2 linked regions of the Coturnix japonica genome follow. The protein of the gene in region 2 interacts with the protein of the main gene of each other region in a biochemical or structural test. Links are inferred from orthologs where the notes say so. Each region holds a gene or a part of one and is shown on either strand. Other genes may lie near its edges.

Region 1 (4,207 bases), on a different chromosome or scaffold from region 2:
TCAGAGCATGGTGCGTGTATTAGGGTGAGTCCTGAGTCTCCCCTGGGCCGGGGAAGGGCAAGGAGCACCATCACACAGAGACCTGAATGCACAGGAGGGGACTCTGCTCCTCATTTCAGTCTGCAGGATGACCATGTTTCCTCTCCTCACCCCTTGGCTTCTCACCTGCTGTGACTCTGTCCCCTAATTTCAATAAACACGGCTTTGTTTGTAGGACAGGGGGTCGTGGTTTGTATCTCAGGGAAGGTTTCTTTTCCAACCTGTGCTGTTTGTGGTGTAACTTTACAACACCGCTTCCAAGCTGTTCCATTCTCACACAAGTTCTCCCCAACCTTTGGGTCCTGGAGTGCTTCCTCACATCACCTTCCCTTCCAAACAGTGTCCTGGTGGGTCTGACATCCCTGTGTGTCATCACAGCCCTATGAGGTGTGTTGGCTGAGTGCGGCAGCTGGGCTGTGCCCCTCGTGTGCTGCATTGGGGTGTGTGCTGATGGAAGTCTTGACTCTTTACAGTCATTAGCAGCTAATGTGGGAGATGCAGAGGGTCCATCAGGGTTTACACAGGGTATGGCAGCTGAACCAACTTCTCTTTTAGTGCTGGATGATAAATATTCCACAAATATTTATTTATATACTTATATTTATTACTAATGAGTGAATTGTGGCAGCTGGTTGCCTCCCAACCCCCAGCACTTCCCATGTTTAGTGCAGGTCCGGCTGGGTGAGGAGGATGCCGTGCTTACAGCACTTCAAAAGACACATGTGAGAAAGGAAAATGTAGGCGACCACCTGGAGAAACTTTTATTTCTTCAAGTGCTGAGTGGGGCTTGAATGAAGAGCTGAGCTCAGCTGAATGGAGCAGGCACAGAACCGTGGGATCGTTTGAACTGGAAGGGGCCTTAAAGGCCATCAGGTCCCACTCCCTGCAGTGCTCATGGACACCCTGAGCTCCATCAGTGCTCAGAGCTCCATTCCTGACCTCAAATGTCTGCACCAACTCCTCCCCGCTCTGTCTCCCCCTGGTGTATGGGGTTCCCTATGGCCGTACCTTGCCATAAGCCGCCTCGCTCTCAGCGATGCTGTTTTCCAGCTGCCGTTTTGCAGCCAGGTTCCGCGCCGTTCGCTCGGAGCTTCGGGCCAAGCGCTCTGTGAGCGCCGCGATGCGGCTCTGCAGCCGTTCTCTCTCCGCCTCCTCCTCCCGGATCCTCTCGCTCAGCTCATCCCGCCGTGCTCGGAGCTCGGCCAGCCCTGCTCGGACCCACCACCACCACCATCACCGTGTGAGCACCGGCTGCTCGCTGCCCCCCTCCCGTCCCCGCTCACCCACCCTCCAGCAGCGCAGCGTTGTAGCCCTGCAGCGTTTCCCCGGTTCCGCTCATCGTGCGGCCCCAACGGCGGCTCCGCGCTCCGCCCCTTCCTGCGGGACATGGAGGCGGCGGGTGCGGGGCTGTCGGCGGCGTGGAGCGCACTCAGTGCCGCCCTGGTACCGCCCGCAGCGCTGGGGCTGGTGAGCGGGGAGAGGGGGCAAAGGGATGGGGGGATAGACGGGACGGGATGGGGGGGTGTGGGTCACGGTGCGGCCCCAGCAGCGGGTAATGGGGGTAACGGTGGCCGTTGTGCGGGTGGTTGGGCTGAGCCCCCCCCGGCACATCGCTGCCGTGTGCGGGATGCGGCTTGTCCGAGGGCATAGAGGTGGTGCTGGTCCGCTCCGAAAGTGATGCCTCCTGTTGTGTTCTGTAGGAGCTGCGATAGATACAAAGAGATGGGAGCGTAAATAGAGCAAATTGGCCGGCACTGTGATGAACGAGAGACGTGTGCTCCATTCGCTTCCATGTCAGACTGCCCCTTGCTGCCGTACGTCACATAGCAGTAGTGTATTGGTGGGAGGTTCAGCCTCGGCTGCCGTCCTACCCACATCCCCCTCTGACACTGTGGGCCAGTACAATAAAATAGGAGGCATCACTTTCAGAGCAGCCCTCGTTAAATATGTAATGTAGTTAACATATACAAGCAACAGAACTGATTTTAATCCAGTAGCTTTGGGTCTGTGGGATGGGCACAGCCCACACGTCGAGGGTCCCCCCTGGTACGTGTCTGCCTAGAGTCAGAATGGTCGGGTTGGGAGAATCCTTACAGCCCACCCCCCCCTGCCATGGGCTGCCAGCCCCGCACCGTGCCCAGGGATGGGGGCATAAAGGTCTGGCTGTGTGCTCCGTGCTCAACCTTTCATCCCCTCTGCTCCCCAGGCAGCGGGGCGCTGTGACCCGGTTCGCCCACTGCAGGATGCGGAGCTGCGGGCCGCCCTGGAGGTGCTGCGCTGTTACGGGCTGCACGCTGCGGTGGAGGAGTGGTTCCTCGAGGTGCTGCAGACCGACCTGCAGGCACACATCGCCCCCGAGTTCTGGAACTGCGTCGGTCAATATGAGAACACGGCGGAGGAGCAGCAGTGCTCAGTGCTCCTCCTGGATGCGTTTTGTCTCCTCAAGTGCCGCCTGGAGCCCTACCTGAGCAGCATGGAGCTCCTGGAGGGATGCACCAAGGCCGGGCTGCTCCTGGGGACGGGAGCTCAGACGCTGCGGGAGAAGGTGTACACCATGTTCAAAGCCATCCTGTTCTTCTCCACCACCAAACCCTTCCAGGAGATGATCCAGCAGTTCTACAGCCGCACCTTCCGGATATACATGCGGCAGTGGAAGAAGGGAGAAGAGGGAATGAATGAGTGTGAGAGCAGCATGAGTGAGGCCGAGCAGGAGAGTGACACGGAGGAGAGCGGAGGGGAGAGCGCGGTGTGTGCGGGCTGCGGCAGCAGGAGGGAGCAGTGCTGGTGCCCCACGGCCATGGAGCGGTTCCGGCAGCTCAATGACATCCTGTACGTATGGCACAGCCAAGGGCAGGTGTTGGGGCTCTGAGCACTGATGGAGCTGTGGGTGTCCCTGTGCACTGCAGGGAGTGGGACCTAATGGCCTTTAAGGTCCCTTCCAACTCAAATGATTCTGTGATTCTATAACCCTATGACAGTGTTTCTGAAGATAGGATGGCAGCTGTGTGATGTGTTATTGCTGCCTGCAATCAGAGTGCTTAAATTAAGAGCACCTGCACAGCACATGGCAGCAGGTGTGCTCTGTTAGCTCAGTTTTCTCTTCATGCTTTTGCTTCTGCTCACTCACTCGAGGTTCTGTGTCTGCAGCCGCCAGCTCAATTTGCTGGAGAGGGTGAGTGCTGATGCTGTGACCACCATCCTGCACAGGATGATCAAGGAGAGGATGGAGCGACGCTGCCGGGGTGATTATGAGCACTCCTTCCTGAACGAGTTCCAGGAGGTAAGGGAGGCCCTGGCTATGGAGATGTGGAGCTGCTCCTGTTCCTGCTGCTAAATTCCCAACTCTGCCTCAATTCCCCAGTCCTGGACTGTGACTTCCACCAGCCCTGGTAGAAGAGGAGTGGTTAAAACTTTACATTTGAGATTAATGTTAGAGGGTCTGCTCTCTCAGTTGAGGGAACTGGGCTTGTTCAGCTTGGAGTAGAGAAGACTCCAGGGAGAGTCTTGCCCAGTGTCCTTCCTCACGCCTCCTCAGTTCTCTCGCTGCTGCCTTGCACTGAGTTTGTGTCGAGCTCTTTGCTGTGTATGACCTTAAAGCTCTTCTCAAGGTTACGGCTGCTCTGGGGCACGGGCTGTGCTCTGGGACACGGGCTGTGCTCTGCACACTCACTCTGTGCTCTTTGTTCCTTGATGCATGGCCTTACGTTGGTCTGCACTGACGAACAAAGTGTGAGGTCAGGTTGCCATGCGAACCAGGCAGCTCCGTGCTGTTGTCCTGGTTTCCTCGCTGTGTGCCGTGCTGGGCATTTGTGTTGTCTGCAAACACAGGCGGTGATTTGGTGTTGGCTTCCCTACAGTTGCTGTGCAACACTTTCTTCTCTGGCCCTGCTGTAAAGGGGCACTCAGAGACAAACTCCTGGGGAGAATGGCTGGGTAAAGGTGCTCCTCACCATCCAGGTGCTTTGCATCAACGATCACACTTCCCTTTTGCTTTTCAGCTTTCCCAGTACAGGTCTGGTGCTTGGGTGCTCTGTGCTGCAGCACATTCTTCTGCCTTGTGGTTCTATGGGCAGAACTCATGCACTCCTCCAGTCCATGGTCAAACAGCTGAGCATTAACAGCAGCACACCACACCTAAAGCTGGTTATCAAAACATAACGCCGCCTCA
Region 2 (4,226 bases):
AAAAGAAGACAGCGTTAAACATTAAACAAACACATGCTAAGATTCATCTGTGTATTTCTCCCAGCTGACTTATTTACTTTTCTAACACAACTAAAGCACACATGCTCCAACCAAACTCAAAAGGCCATTTAGGTGACTACCAAACACTGGGTAATGAATCATAGAATCATAGTATCACCAAGGTTGGAAAAGACCTAAAAGATCATCCAGTCCAACCGTTCACCTATTACTAATAGCTCCCACTAAACCATGTCCCTCAACACAACATCTTCCCTTGAACACTCCCAGGGTCGGTGATTCCACCACCTCCCTGGGCAGTGCATTCCAGTGCCTGACCACCCTTCCTGAGAAGTAATACTTCCAAATGTCCAGCCTGAATCTCCCCTGCTGTAGCTTGAAACTATTCCCTCTGGTCCTATCACTAATGACACGAGAGAAGAGGCCGACCCCCAGCTCACTACAACCTCCCAACATAACTCAGGAAGTTATGGAGAGCAATGAGGTCCCCCCTGAGCCTCCTCTTCTCCAGGCTGAACATACCCAGCTCCTTCAGCCTCTCCTCATCTGCTTGCTGTGTACAAATTTCCAGTTCCTGTCACCCTCCAAAGCATATAACCAGATCTTGCAGGGTGTCACTGACTTATATCTTATTGCATAGGAATAATTAAAAGCTTTGTTTTAGGACAAAAGCATCCCCATACCTCTTTCACTCCCCGTTTGTACCAGTCTCCTGAGGAGCTGTACTGCTTCTGCTTCTCTGGCTGAGGCCTCTGATGCTTTAGCGTAGGTCTTTTGGAAGGATCTATGTACCACGGGACCGAAGATATGTACTGAGGAATGTGAGGGTTGATATCTCTGTAAAAGGAGATATGAAATTAATACACGGCACAGGAAAAACCACCGCACAATTTAGCTTAATTAACCTCATGTTAAGCTCAGCTTCACAACTCTGTAACCACATAAGCCTACTTTACAAACCGAGCTGTGTTACAGAACTTACTTTCCTTCCTCATCCACCTCAGCAGGCGCGTTCCCCAGCTTCCTCTGCTCCTCCAGCTCCTTCTTTTTCCTCCAATCCTCCCTCGTCATCTTCTTCGGCTCCTCCATACTCACATCTCCCGGCCCTCCCGAAGGAGCCGCGTTTACCGCCGTCCCAGACGCCATTTTACTTCCTCCTAAAACACTAAAAAACCGCACGCGTTCCGAACCGAACCGATCCCACGAGCCTCCCCCCGGTTACCCCTCATAGCCCAGAGCCTCCACCCAGCCATACCGGGCACAACGACCACCCAACACCCCAGCAAAGCCCACCCGGTCCCGCACCTCCACTCCCTGTTTACCAACTAGGCCGCACCGAGACCCCGCCCCTTGACTGCCAGGGCAACGAGGAGCCGGAACTCGGTAGTCACCAATGGGGCGGCTGAGCGTTAATCGAAAGCGGCCTATGGGAGCAGCGGGGCGGGTGTAGAGGCTGGTTGTGCTTATCGCTATCCCTGCTCTTCTCCTCGCTCTGCTGCTCCCAAATCGGCTTTTCCCGCAGGTAAGTGTGCTGTTTTTCCTCCATGTTTTCTTTCTGGCCTGTTGAGCGATCCTTCTGCCCTAAAGAAGGGCGGGCCTGCGAGGCGTTGCTTGGCCGCCCAGTGCACGGTGCCGTGTTATCAACCGCCATATCTAATACTGGCCCTGTGCTCAGTCCAAGCTGCCATCATCATTCCTAGCATACATCAAAAACTTGCTGTTTCTATTAGCAAGAACTGCCAAGATCTTCTGTCTGCCTTTCCAGGGTGGTCTCATCAGCCCAGAGATGACGACGCTGATCTTTGTGGATAAGGAGGATGGTGAAGTTGGTGCTACTAAGAACCAGTTAAGACGCCCTTCGGTATCATGTGAGTATATGCTCCATGGAGACAGCGTGGGATGGAGTAAAGTGCGTGTCCTGGGTTTTGTTAATCACTGTTTTGAACAGGAACAACAAAATGGGTTAAGCAGATAAATAGTAAAACTAAGTTTATCAGCTATTACAAATATGAAAATCACCTGTCTTTTGAGCTTATACTTTTGATCTAGAAGTGGAGAACAACAATTAGCTTTCTAGCACACACACTTCATTAGAAGCAAGCTTTAGGGTTGACAAGGTGCTAAAGCTTGCTTTCCTTTCCTGTCTGCAGCAAAAGCCTTATCAGAAAGAACACAAGTCAATACTCCACTTCTAAAAAAAGCAATCAGAACTCCAGCCACATCTCACTCTGTCAGAAAGGCTCTTGGAAATGTGAACAGAACTGTAGGAGTTACAAGCAAGAAGGAACAGAAGAAAGATAAAAATCAGCCTTGCAGTGCAAAGAAAGTGAGTACAACCCTTCTGTAATGGATGGGAATCAGAGGAATGCATGATGTACCTACAACAGCTTAGGGAACACACAAGGGCAATGAAGTAACTCTAGACAAAATATTGGCTGTGTTACTGTCTTGTTCATATTCTATTTAGTGGGAGTTTATTGTTATGAGCCTAAATATCATACTGCAGAGATTTGTTGCCACTGTGTACCATCATACAAGTTCAACTGAAGCATTTTCCCTTTTGCAGCTTATTTGTATCAAAGGTGTTAAAATCCAGGTTTACAGGCACAGAAAGGGTACTACACTGAGAAAACACGACAGCACAAATAACTTGACTTCTTCATTTTAAGGTTGCTGAAAAGGCTGTTGGATTAGCAAGCTGGGATGGAGGGGGTGATGAAGCTTACCCAGAAATAGAAAACATGTTTCCTTTTGATCCTCAAGGTAAGAACTCTTGGGGTAATTATTAAAACCTAATTGGACTTTGATTAAGTGTTGATGCTGCAAGACTTCCACTGAGCTGTTGTGGTGACTAAGCTGGTATTACATTTCTCCAGAGTCCTTTCTTAAACATAAGGGCATTCAATATTTTGGAAGCATGACCTTGTTCTTGTTTGAGTGTTTTAAATATACGTATTGCTTGATATAGTTGACACAGCATAGGGATTAGAAAAATTCCTTAAAACTCTTGCTTTATAATGACTGTTACATACACTTCAGATAAGCATTAGCATACAAAATTGCATGGACACTAATAAGTAACTGTAACTAAGCACTCCATAAGAAGGAACTGTTGGACTGAGTTGTCCTGGAACTACTCCCATTTCACTTAATCAAGGACAACTTGCAGCTTCACATGCTATTGTGCGCTGTTACTAAACTACAGCGTGTCTTTCCTAAACAGACTTTGAGAGTTTTGATGTTACTGAAGAGGATAAACTAAGTGATATCAAGCTGCGTGGTGTTCCTCTCATGATATTCCCAAGTACTTATGACAAACCTGTGGACCTAGCTTCTTCACCTATAAAGCTTGAAAAGATGCCATGGGAGTCTGGTAAGTGGAAAATTAGCCTGAGGTTCAGCGCATATTAGTGATTTAGGAAGGAAGTGAGTTTGTTGCAGTAGTGAACAACTATTGCTCTTGTAAGTGCAAGAGCAGGATGCTTATCTCAAAGAGCACTCTGTATGTAACTGAGCTGAATTTAACTGGTCATCTCTACTGGCATGGGTAGTGGTCTCGAAGCTGCACTGCCATGTAACTTTCTGTAATATATTTCTAACTCATCATAGCCATTCAAGAGGCTTATGCTAATCCACCAGCAGCCAGCTGGAGTGTAAACTTCTGGATTTTATGAGTAATTGATCTCCTCTATTTCTAACTTTCAGACTTGCTAGAACCACCTGCTGACTTCATCTCTACGCTGGATTACGTCATTGATATGCCGCCTATGGACTATGACTTCTAAAAAGCATACTCTGAAGTTTCTGTTGAATTTTATGTTTATAAATAAAGGTTACTTTAACTTGTGAAATAAAACTTACCTTGCTTTTTCTTTCAGTAGAGCTAATATGCTGCACACCCAAGATGTAGGCATTTTACTATCTGACAGGCTATTAAAACAAAACTTAGTCTTGCTTAAAAGCTCATCTATAATTCAGTGTTCTGAACTGTATCCAGATATTAATATATGAATCTTCAAGTCACAAGTATAGATTCAATTTCTTAGCACTGTTATTGTTCTAGTTCTTTTCAGTAATCATGGAAAACAAGTGAGGTTTAGAGGTGGCATTATTCATAGTTGCCTGCTGTTACCACAGTGGATAAAAGTTGGTTTGAGGTGCTTAATGAAAGCTGGAATATGGGGGCCCTCACTACAAGAAAGACAGGC

The links. The genes of interacting proteins can lie anywhere in the genome.
Region 1: the proteins of PTTG1 (region 2) and ANAPC2 form a complex in vitro, tested with the Homo sapiens proteins (2 studies listed by BioGRID, with this or other methods). The link is inferred for Coturnix japonica from reciprocal best matches to the Homo sapiens genes PTTG1 and ANAPC2.

Annotation. Positions count from the first base shown.
Region 1 is NC_029532.1:1,027,167-1,031,373, forward strand, and holds the start of ANAPC2 (anaphase-promoting complex subunit 2), read left to right. Parts: upstream 1-1,404; 5' UTR 1,405-1,425; coding exon 1,426-1,506; intron 1,507-2,245; coding exon 2,246-2,868; intron 2,869-3,186; coding exon 3,187-3,319; intron 3,320-4,207. Other genes in the region: SSNA1 (Sjoegren syndrome nuclear autoantigen 1), read right to left, coding at 1,048-1,247, 1,327-1,378. UniProt on the Homo sapiens protein: Together with the RING-H2 protein ANAPC11, constitutes the catalytic component of the anaphase promoting complex/cyclosome (APC/C), a cell cycle-regulated E3 ubiquitin ligase that controls progression through mitosis and the G1 phase of the cell cycle.
Region 2 is NC_029528.1:9,901,546-9,905,771, reverse strand, and holds PTTG1 (securin), read left to right. Parts: upstream 1-1,420; 5' UTR 1,421-1,540; intron 1,541-1,783; 5' UTR 1,784-1,804; coding exon 1,805-1,886; intron 1,887-2,168; coding exon 2,169-2,344; intron 2,345-2,687; coding exon 2,688-2,781; intron 2,782-3,241; coding exon 3,242-3,391; intron 3,392-3,723; coding exon 3,724-3,803; 3' UTR 3,804-3,874; downstream 3,875-4,226. Other genes in the region: pre-mRNA-splicing factor SLU7, read right to left, coding at 702-855, 1,001-1,164. UniProt on the Homo sapiens protein: Regulatory protein, which plays a central role in chromosome stability, in the p53/TP53 pathway, and DNA repair. Probably acts by blocking the action of key proteins.